3 linked regions of the Saccharomyces cerevisiae S288C genome follow. The gene in region 3 interacts genetically with the main gene of each other region. Each region holds a gene or a part of one and is shown on either strand. Other genes may lie near its edges.

Region 1 (4,711 bases), on a different chromosome or scaffold from region 3:
TTTAATGGACTCTTCGCCAGACAAGCCACCTTTAACCATGTATTTTTGGCGGGCACTTGGGACTTGGGTCAATTCCTCTGCTTTGCTTTTCAAATCTGCTGAAGTAGCATCAGTGGAAAGTGTTATTGGGTAAACTTTACCAGAATGTCTAATATTGAACTCAAACGTTTCTCCGCTCATATTTTAACACAAGGATAGGTAGGGCTAATTTCCTTATTTTTATATCCTCTTAGAGAACGAAATCTCGTATTTCAATTGCACCAATTACTTGCAGTGGCAAAATTCGAAAAGCACTTCACCCTTCTTGTAGATTTTATGTTTTATATTAGCCACTACTTTTTTACGTAAAAAGTGATACATATACCAATGACCCAGAATGCCCAGTTAGGTCAATTAGATTCCAATACAAGTAGTCAAAAAAAAAAAGTATCATGGGGCTATGAATGCATACTTAATTTAGGCTTCTATGGAAAATATATTCTGAGGTGCTTCCTAAATAATCAATGCTTTTTAACCACACCTGCAGCATCAGCAGACTGCAAGATGTAATCTCTATAGTCGTAAATTGTACCTTCGAACCTCTTGACAGTACCTTGCTCTGAAACCCAAATCTCTTTACAAACAGAGTCAATAACAGAGATATCATGGGAAACCATTAAGACACCACCGTTGAAATTTTTCAAGGCTTCTACCAAAGCGTCTAGACCAGTGGTATCCAAATGGTTAGAAGGTTCATCCAGAACCAAAATGTGTGGATTATTTAAACACAATGCAGCGAATGCTACACGAGATTTTTGACCACCGGATAATAATTGCATCTTTTGTAGACCCAGGGTACCAGTGATACCAAATGAACCTAGATGACGTCTATACTCTTCATCAGTTTTACCTGGGAAGGATTTGGACATCCAGTCCACTGCAGACGTGGTCAAATCCATAGAATCCACATGATGTTGAGTGAAGTAGCCTATACGTAATCTTGGGTTTCTTGATACAAAGCCTTTTAGTGGTCTTAACTGCTCCATCATAATCTTCAACAGTGTAGTCTTACCACAACCATTGGCACCTACAAGGGCAATTCTGGAATCCATTTGAACGTCCAGGTTAACATCTTTCAATAATAGGTTGTTTTCATCATAACCAAAGGAAACGTCTTGCAATTGGATAATTGGTGGAGACAATTTATCACATTCAGGGAATTTGAAATCAATGGTTTTGTCTTGTTCAGGTGGCTCCAAAACGGGCAATTTTTCCAATTTCTTAATTCTTGATTGAGCTTCCTGTGATTTGGCAGCATTGTATCTGTATTTGTCAATAAACTCTTGCAAGTGCTTTCTGTAAACCATTTGGTTATCATACTCACGTTGAGCATTCTTTCTACGTTCCTCCTTTGTGGTGTAAAAGGTATCGAAATCTTGGCCTCTGTAATAGTCTAGTCTTTCGTTGTGTTGATAAATGATATCTGTAGCCACTTCATTCAAGAATGCACGGTCGTGAGAAACTGTCAAAACTGTATTTGGATATGTTTTCAAATACTCTGCTAAATAAGCGATGGATGGCACATCCAACATATTGGAAGGTTCATCTAACAACAAAAGATCTGGTTGACAGAATAAGGCTCTTGCCAAGGACAATCTCATTCTCCAACCACCGGAAAAGGAATTAGTGGGTTGTTGCTGTGCCTCCGTACTGAACCCCAAACCATATAAGATTGATGCTGCCCTAGCTTCAGCCTTGTCAGATTCCATATCGACTAATTTGTCAGAAATCTGTATCAAATGGTTATCCAAGTCTTCTCTTTCATTGTCCAATTTTTTAACTTCTAAACTGTCTTCTTCGAATTCCTGTCTTAATACATCCATTTCCTTTAATCTTTCATTGATCTTGGCTTCTTCACTTAATAGTTGTTTTCTCCAAACGTCTGCATCCAGCACACTTTGTAAAGCCTTTGTATCATCACCTCTTAACTCTTGTTCCACGTGTAAAATCGAAACATGTTTGGGGACGTTCAGCTCTCTTCTAGATAGAGCCCTTAACAAAGTAGATTTACCAATACCATTTTGGCCCACAAGACCATATCTGTGACCAAAACTTAGAGTCAATTGGGCGTTGGACAAAATTCTTTGACCGTCACCAACGTACAAGTCGAAAGTGTCAATATGGATATCCTTGGATTTACCAGCGGATGAACCGAATTCTAAAGGGTTGATTTGCAAAAAGAAAGAATCGTAATCCTCCTCCTTTTGGTCATTGATCAATTTAGAAGCCTCGTATTTAACAAATTTGTTATTTCTCTTGGCGACTTTCTTTGCGATCTTTTGTTCAGCCTTGGCCAGTTTTTTCAAATCAACTCTTGTTTCCATCTTTCTACCAGTATGTTCGATGTCACCGTTCACACCCAGCATGCTTAATGAGACGTTGATATCGGATTTACTGTTATGACTCTTTAAGACATTAATATCAAGTAATCTCTTGGACGTATCACCGGTCAATTCCAATTTGGCTTCGTTCTCCTTTAGTTGAGTAGTCAATTGCTTCAAAATACTTTCCGATAGTTCTTTAACTTTAGCCTTTGACGCACCCGCATCAATCAATAAATCGGACACAAATTGCACTTCAGTGGACAAATCTACCTGCTTACTTTGAACAGCATCAAAAGTTATTCCGGACAAGTGGTTAAAGTAGCCCACTGCGTAATCCGTGACGATAGGGTCAATACTAGAAGCAGCTTTTCTCACTTGCGAACCGATGCTTGCCATTTCAAAAAAGTTATTTACCTTTTGTGCTATGAATCGAAGTTAACGTTTTAGCGCTTCAAAACGACTAGTCTTAGCTAGCTTACTGCAGAATATATATTTCTCTTTTCAAATGTCTTTCATTTTCTACTAGATCTAATAATACGAAAAATTTTCAGGAACAAAAAAATAAAAATCAGAAAAAAAAGAAACTGCGCAAGCCCGGAATCGAACCGGGGGCCCAACGATGGCAACGTTGGATTTTACCACTAAACCACTTGCGCTTGTTTTCTTGTGAAAACTATCCTTGGATAAATCAATAATAATGTTTGTAACTTCTCTAACCAATTTGAGATGTAACGAATGATAATTAGTGTGTTGGAATAAAAATCCACTATCGTCTATCAACTAATAGTTATATTATCAATATATTATCATATACGGTGTAAAGATGATGACATAAGTTATGAGAAGCTGTCATCGAAGTTAGAGGAAGCTGAAGTGCAAGGATTGATAATGCAATAGGATAATGAAACATATAAAACGGAATGAGGAATAATCGTAATATTAGTATGTAGAAATATAGATTCCATTTCGAGGATTCCTATATCATCGAGGAGAACTTCTAGTATATCCTGTATACATAATATTATGGCCTTTATCAACAATGGAATCCCAACAATTATCTCAAAATTCGCCAAATAGTCAAGTATTATAGCCTTGATCAATAATGGGATCCAATAATTATTAAACTATTCACCCAATCTTCACAGATCTTCTAGTCAACGAGGGAAAATCCATATTTCTAAATAGTATTATTTATCCTTGCACTTCAACTTCCATTGAAGCTGATGATTGTTTCTTAATTTTCATGTTATCTTCTGGCAGCGTATATGAGATTATACTAATTATATGAAAATATATTAATAGTATAGATACTAATCGGTAAACGATAATCGACTCTCATCACAACAAAATGCTTTTGCAAATATTGAGGAAATTATATATGTTTATTAAACATATATATCCTGTGTATTTATAGAGGCTTTCCTCCAACATTTTATTATTTTTGGCAAATAATACAGTAGCTTAGGATATCTTACGCACGCAACTGCAGGAAAAGAACGTCAAGACATTCTGTGAGTTGTTTTCCCGCAAAATGTTCCACCGTCGTTACTTTTTCAATTTCATAAACATATATCAGAATGGAAAAAGCCTTCATAAATGAGCTTCGAATTTTTGCGCAATCTCGAATATAAGAAGCATGTATATTTGTCATCTTGCTTTCATTGGAAGCAAAAGGGCAAAGTTTCAATCTTGTGCATGTAACCTCAGTAGTAATCTATAAGTGTGAGATATATCTGTCAATTTTTGCAGACCATTAACATTTTCCAAATACATCTTGAACTCTTCATCTTCGAGGGGAATTGTCTCCGTCTGGAATTTCTGCCTAATCAATTTGATAGTCTCTTTATGATGCATTAGAATGTTTCCTCTTAATTGGGCGACAATGTAATTTAAAGAGTCTTCGGAGTAAGACAATAAATCCATGGATTCAAGGGTTACCTGCTTGGATTCCTGTAAACTTTTCCGGAGCATTGAATTTTGGCGCTTCAACACTCCTAGCATAACGTCATCTTTCGCATTTTCATCCAGATTGTTGCTTAGTTGCTCTTTCTCAGTAATAGGAGCTTTCCCTCTTTGTTCTAGAAATCTATTAAATAATGCAATATTTTCCGTGGTATCGTGAGGTTCTTCAGATGTCTCATACTTGTTTAAGCTTCCGGATAATATGTCTATGTTCCTTAGTATTTTCGCCTTTTCTGCTTGATTTTCCCTCAACTGTTTCACTAGCTTGTTAACTAACAAGTACATATGATTCAAGTTTTCTGCTTGAGGAGACATATATACTTGCTGCTGCTGCTGCTGCTGCTGTTGTTGTTGTTGCATTGACAAAACGTTGATTTGGTCACTCA
Region 2 (3,432 bases), on a different chromosome or scaffold from region 3:
AACGAACATCGAAAATACCATCCCATATATACCTTACGTGGGCATGTCCAGCAATAGGAGCGATACAAGAAATGGAGGTGGCAATAACAACAAACACACTAATAATGAAAAACTGGGCAGTTTTAAAGGAGATGATTTTTTCAAAGAACCATTTACGAACTGGAACAAGAGCGGATTGAGACAACTATGCACGGATCAGTTCACGATGTTCATATATCAGACCCTAACCGGCCTGAAGTTTGTCGCTATCAGCTCCAGCGTCATGCCCCAGAGACAGCCAACTATAGCCACCACCGACAAGCCTGACCGACCCAAGAGTACATCCAATTTGGCCATCCAAATAGCCGACAACTTCCTAAGGAAGGTTTACTGTTTGTATAGTGACTACGTCATGAAAGACCCATCTTACTCAATGGAAATGCCTATAAGATCTAACCTGTTCGACGAAAAAGTCAAAAAAATGGTAGAAAACCTACAATAGACGCACGCGCCATCGGAAGATAAACGCATTCACACCAAGAAAATAAATACTACGTACTTCTAGAACTAAGAAGAAGTTGCCGCTCTCCGTCTCCTCCTTCATAAATAGGGATAGCTTTTACTACTACGTACGAAAAAAGACCACACTGCGACGGATCCTCTGCATCCCAACACCAGCGATAGAAAATGCGCCGCCTATATCGTCATCTTGCTTCCTTTTTCTTACTCCCTTCCTGCCCTGGAAACACCATACAATCCATCACATCATATCCTGCCAATGCACTATTACGCAGCTTTCGGCACGTGAGTACGGAAACACCAGTTCGGAACCGGGTACACAATAGGGATAGTCAAAGCTGTCCATTTTTTCCGCTGATGGATGACTGATACCAAAGTGTAACCCAAAAGGGGTAGTCGATCCTACTTTTACCAGTTACGTTAAAGGGACCAAAACGTGGGGAAGGGATGCCGCCACCACCACCGCCACTACCCCCGCCAACATGGCCTAACTTAGCAGTCCTCGCTTGTGTATCTAGGTCCGCGTCCGCTAATTCGCGCGGCTTGCCACTTAACCCCGTCCAGTTAATTTGCCAAGCAGCGGCCGCACGTTGGAACGTTTTCGCCGATTTATTTATTATTATTTATACATGTTGACGTTGGTGCCCTTTTGTTTATACTGGAGCCTAAAACGTACCTCAATTAAATTTAGTGTGCCATATTATAGTGCTATTAAACCTTTATTTTTATTTTTAATTTTAAAACTGCTTTGGTTCTCTCCCTCCCTTACCGTTGCCACCTTAAGACTCACTGATATTTATTCATACTTACAAGTGCTATAAGAAAAGACTTGATTTATTAGCTTTACAGCGTTTTTACATTTGTGTCACTGCTATTATATTTTTGTTTACCTCTTTTTGTTGCTGGTGTTGGCGCTACCATTGTTTTTTTGTTTTATGAGTTACGTTTACAAAAGTTCTTAACATTTACTGTACGATAATATACTAAGGTGAAATACTAAAGTAAAATAAAATAAGAGAAAGAAAAAAAAAAAAAAAAGAAAAAAGTAATGATGATGTTCCATAATTGCAGAATTAATAACTACTTAATAACTTCTCAAATTGGCGAAGGCGCGTACGGTCTGGTTTACCGTGCCTTAGATATTCGTACCGATAGACAATACGCTATCAAAGCGGTTGTTCAAAGTTACGGTGTTAGCAAGGAGGCTGATATGGGCAATGATAAAATACACAAAAATAGCGTGAAATTGCAAAAGAAGCTCGCTAAACTGTTCAAGGAATCGAAAAACGTTGTCAGGGTGCCCTCTATAGATCTAGAATCAATTGAGAATATGTCAGAAGAAGATTTTAAAAAGCTGCCCCATTATAAAGAGATTTCGCTACACCTAAGAGTCCACCATCATAAGAACATTGTCACCATACATGAGGTGCTACAATCTGCAGTCTGCACGTTCATTGTCATGGATTATTACCCAACAGACCTATTCACGTCTATTGTAGATAACAGACATTTTGTCACTAATGGACTGCTAGTAAAAAAGGTTTTTCTACAGATCTGTTCTGCTCTTAATTATTGCCATGAGCACGGCATCTACCACTGTGACATCAAGCCTGAAAACTTGCTACTGGATACAGAAGATAACGTTTTCCTATGCGATTTTGGTCTATCCACTACTTCCACATATATAAAGCCAAATGTTTGCATTGGTAGCTCGTATTATATGCCCCCTGAAAGAATCTCATTTGATGGGAGAGTTTCCAGCTCTAAAAGTGGGGGACATAAGTTGGGTAAGGTTTGTCCCTCATGTAATGGCGATTTGTGGTCATTAGGTATCATCCTTATCAATTTGACATGCATCAGAAATCCCTGGCTGAAGGCTGACAAAACCGAGGATAATACCTACTATTATTTCACTAAGGATCCCAATATACTAAAGCAAATCCTACCGCTTTCCGATGACTTTTACTCATTATTATCTAAGATTTTACAAGTGAATCCGAAGAATAGAATGAGCTTGCAAGAGTTGATGAAAGAAGTTAGTTCTATTACAAGCTTCACCAATGAAGGCCCGTTATCAAAAGTGCCGCCTCTTTCCAAGTCTGTTTATGAAAAGTTCGTTAGCCCCGTCGATAACACGAATGAGAATTTGTCTCCAAAATCCTACGTGTACATGCACGATAGTAAAGCTGCCAAGAATTTATCTTATACATCTTCAAGTGAGGAAGAAGATGGAATCAAAGAAGGGATAGACGATGATAATGGCAGTCGCAGTGGCAGTTTCGGAACGCTAGACACAGACACTGGATTGCATTCTTCGTTCACAAGCACTTCTTGCGAGTCCGATAACGAATGTTCTAAGATTTCCAACAAATTTTCCTTGTTCGAAAAAAAATTCAACGAACTTCGCATGAGTTCCTCTTCTTTAACTAACTAACCCCCTCCTTTTTGGCACAAAAGTGTACTACACATCTGTTTTAAGCCCACAATTGATAGACCTTCTCTTGATGATCATCTGTTTTCCCGAAAATATTACTTGCCAAAGCAAGTTGTAGTTATATTCACACTTCCGTTATGACCCCCTCATCCGTTTAATGTTATTTGTTTTTATGGTATTCCCTTTATTCATTTTTTTTCTTGCTTTTTTTTGTTGATCCCTGTAACCCCTTTTTTTTTTTTGGAAGTTGCTATTATTATTCATTCACATTTGTTCTGTCTTTGTTAATTTTCCAGGTCACCGTATTTAATTTCTATATAACTGTTTCTAATATTTACTTCGTTTTATCCAAGCGTTATTTACTCAATATTCAAAACTTTACTTTTTACCACCTGTATAACATCTTTTTCAATTTGATAAAACGTTTTGAAATCTAAGGGAACAATGTCACAGTCAGTTTCGTCGTTGATGTCTGGTAACTCCAGATCCCTGAATTGAGA
Region 3 (3,234 bases):
TTGGCTTAGTTGTGTTTCTAATTCGTTTTGTTTCTCTTTCCACTGGTGCTGGTGCTGGTGCTGGAGTAGGTTCTGCGCTAGTTTCATCAAAACCTTCCACTACGGCCTTTGTATCTTCTTTTTCCTTGCTAGTGGCGTCTGCGCCAGCGGTATTGTTATTGTTGCTATTATTATTATCGTTATTGCCATCATCATTGTCGTCGTCATCGTCTTCCCCAAGGTTCATCAGGTCCAACTCAGAGTTATCGCCTTCCACTTGCACACCCCATTTCTTCATTTGCGAAGTGACCAAATCACCGTAGGAAGAACATTTCTTGATCACAGACTCAATTGCATTGTAACCTCTTATACTTTGGGTGATTTTATCGAGCAGCCTCTCACTCTCATTGGCGGATGCAGCCGCACGTCTTTTTCTCTTGTTCGATGCGTTCTCCTCAGTGTCCTTATCATTGAAATTTGTGTTTACAAAGGCATTTAAAGAAGAATATGGCCTATGTGAGGCTATGAGTTGAGCCTTATGCATCGTGGTATCTGAGAGGTCCGAGAGATCGACAATATCAGAGTCATTAATAAACTGTAAAACTTGTTCATCCAGATTTATCTGCGGCGTGGATTCTGTGTAGTCGTCGCCACTTGCATCGTCATCGTCCGTCATCATACTCTCTTCCTCCTCTTCATCGTTGTCGTTTGCATGACGACCGTATTTGCGGTTCGCCAGTAGTTTCTCTCTTGCAGAACCTAATTGTGTAGCGGATGACTCATAAGACTTGCCAATTGGATGCTGATCTGCCCTTACCAGCCTTCTCTTTTTGTTGTAGTTCACGGGCAACTTGCTCAGTGCCTCCGAGTCTATATTCAAGTTAGTTGGCAGCTCAAAAGTGTATTGTTTCTGGTTGATGACGTTTGAGTAACGGTCAAAAATGGACGTTTTCTGTTTGGCCACGGTAATCTTGGAGGATTTGTTGTTGATATTGCCATGGATAGATGATAAACGGCCTGTGTTTGCCAGTGGTAATGACTTCTTGACAGGTGGCGGGGTTTCTGACTTCTTGGGAGATGCGTTCTTGTTCCATGTCCAATTTTGTCTTTGCTGCCTCAATCTTGTAAGACGTTCCCTGGCAGACTGTAAGTTAAAAGAGTTAGATTTGAAAACAGCCTGCACCAGAGTTTGAGAGAAATCGGGGAACTCTCTCGCAAGGTTAACCAGTGCTACCTCAGGACTCCCAGATGGGAGCGGCTTCGAAGTATGAGCTCCTTCGCTGGGATCTGAAGGCTTGAAAGTAAACCTGCTTCTCAAAGACGCCACACTTGCATCCGGAACTGTTGGCGAAGTAGGCTTTAAGGGAGACGACGATGCTACCTTGGTGGGAGAGGACGTCTCGGGCACTTGCACTACGTCATCCTCATCATTTGAATGCGAACCACTCATGTTTTCAACTATAGCGTATTTTCTCTCTTTTTCTTGTTTACGTTCCTTACTGTAGATAGTCGGGTGTCCACCAGTAGCAACAAACTCGAATATAGAGCACTATAGCACACGCCAGTACTGATTTAAGTTACGTGTTGCATTGCGAGATGGGCTCATGATCTCTTTTAATCCTACAAAGTGAAAAATTATGAAAAATTTCGCGGCGACGGGGGTAACGCAGCCGTTTGAGCCTTGATAATGCAGGCAGATCCAAAGCGCAAGTGATGGAATGTGATCATTAAAGGCTATAACAGGCTTGTATCGATGAGTTGTGTGTATGCGTTTGGGTCTAATGGGCAAAGGCAACTGGGACTGGGGCACGATGAGGATATGGATACCCCACAGAGGTCTGTGCCAGGAGATGATGGAGCAATAGTCAGGAAGATAGCGTGCGGTGGGAACCACAGCGTGATGCTGACAAATGACGGGAATCTGGTAGGATGTGGAGATAACAGACGGGGAGAACTGGATAGTGCGCAAGCACTGCGGCAGGTGCATGACTGGAGGCCCGTGGAAGTACCGGCACCCGTGGTGGATGTGGCGTGCGGCTGGGACACGACAGTTATTGTGGATGCTGATGGCCGTGTATGGCAGAGAGGAGGCGGTTGCTACGAGTTCACTCAGCAACATGTGCCATTGAATTCCAACGATGAGCGCATCGCAGTATACGGATGTTTCCAGAACTTTGTGGTGGTGCAAGGCACCCGAGTATACGGCTGGGGCAGCAACACAAAGTGTCAATTGCAAGAGCCCAAATCCCGATCACTGAAAGAGCCCGTATTGGTGTACGATACCGGGTCTGTGGCCGTAGACTACGTGGCCATGGGCAAGGACTTCATGGTCATAGTGGACGAGGGCGGCCGCATAGTGCACGCATCCGGTCGCCTGCCCACTGGGTTCGAGCTCAAACAACAGCAAAAAAGACACAATCTAGTGGTACTGTGCATGTGGACCTCGATCCACCTGTGGAATGCGCGCCTCAATACGGTAGAGTCGTTTGGTAGGGGCACACATTCCCAACTCTTCCCGCAAGAGCGCCTAGACTTCCCTATTGTCGGTGTTGCAACCGGGAGTGAGCACGGTATTCTAACTACTGCTAATCAAGAAGGCAAGTCTCACTGTTACAATGTATACTGCTGGGGCTGGGGAGAGCATGGCAACTGCGGCCCGCAAAAGGGCTCCCAGCCTGGACTGCAGCTCGTGGGCCAATACTCTGGAAAACCTCGCGTGTTTGGCGGATGTGCCACCACGTGGATCGTGCTCTAGCACTGATAAGTAACTATATACCCACTATCATATACATAGATGTCCATTCAGCATTAATTCTCATCGTGGTAGATCTCAAAGGTAAAGTAGCCGTTTAGGCCTTTTGTTATCGCCCGTACTTGCGAAAAACGGGCCAACAACGAAAAAATTTGAAAAAGTTTCCACCTTAGAGAAGGTTCTCAAGCACAAGGGCACAGCATAAGGGACACCAGCAAGGGAACTCCGACTGACGTTATCCCTGCAAACTACCGCTAATGAACGACCCTTCTTTACTAGGCTACCCTAATGTGGGCCCGCAGCAGCAACAGCAACAGCAGCAACAGCAGCATGCCGGGCTACTAGGAAAGGGTACACCAAACGCTCTACAGCAGCAGCTACACATGAACCAGCTCACCGGGATACCTCCACCGGGACTCATGAACAACAGCGATGTACACACTTCCAGCAACAACAACTCGCGCCAGTTGCTCGACCAATTGGCTAATGGGAACGCGAACATG

The links. A genetic interaction does not mean that the proteins touch.
Region 1: mutations in ATS1 (region 3) and GCN20 together harm fitness more than expected from each alone (negative genetic interaction), as found in Saccharomyces cerevisiae (2 studies listed by BioGRID).
Region 2: mutations in ATS1 (region 3) and VHS1 together harm fitness more than expected from each alone (negative genetic interaction), as found in Saccharomyces cerevisiae (3 studies listed by BioGRID).

What each region holds. Positions count from the first base shown.
Region 1 is NC_001138.5:160,536-165,246, reverse strand, and holds GCN20 (putative AAA family ATPase GCN20), read right to left. Parts: upstream 2,760-4,711; coding exon 501-2,759; downstream 1-500. Other genes in the region: ubiquitin-specific protease UBP6, read right to left, coding at 1-180; FAR7 (Far7p), read right to left, coding at 4,047-4,711. UniProt on the Saccharomyces cerevisiae protein: Acts as a positive activator of the GCN2 protein kinase activity in response to in response to low amino acid, carbon, or purine availability.
Region 2 is NC_001136.10:954,467-957,898, forward strand, and holds VHS1 (putative serine/threonine protein kinase VHS1), read left to right. Parts: upstream 1-1,546; coding exon 1,547-2,932; downstream 2,933-3,432. Other genes in the region: TRAPP subunit TRS23, read left to right, coding at 1-481; YDR246W-A (uncharacterized protein), read left to right, coding at 667-867; YDR248C (gluconokinase), read right to left, coding at 3,292-3,432. UniProt on the Saccharomyces cerevisiae protein: Probable serine/threonine protein kinase involved in the G1-S transition.
Region 3 is NC_001133.9:113,114-116,347, reverse strand, and holds ATS1 (Ats1p), read left to right. Parts: upstream 1-1,732; coding exon 1,733-2,734; downstream 2,735-3,234. Other genes in the region: DNA-dependent ATPase FUN30, read right to left, coding at 1-1,429; CCR4-NOT core exoribonuclease subunit CCR4, read left to right, coding at 2,989-3,234.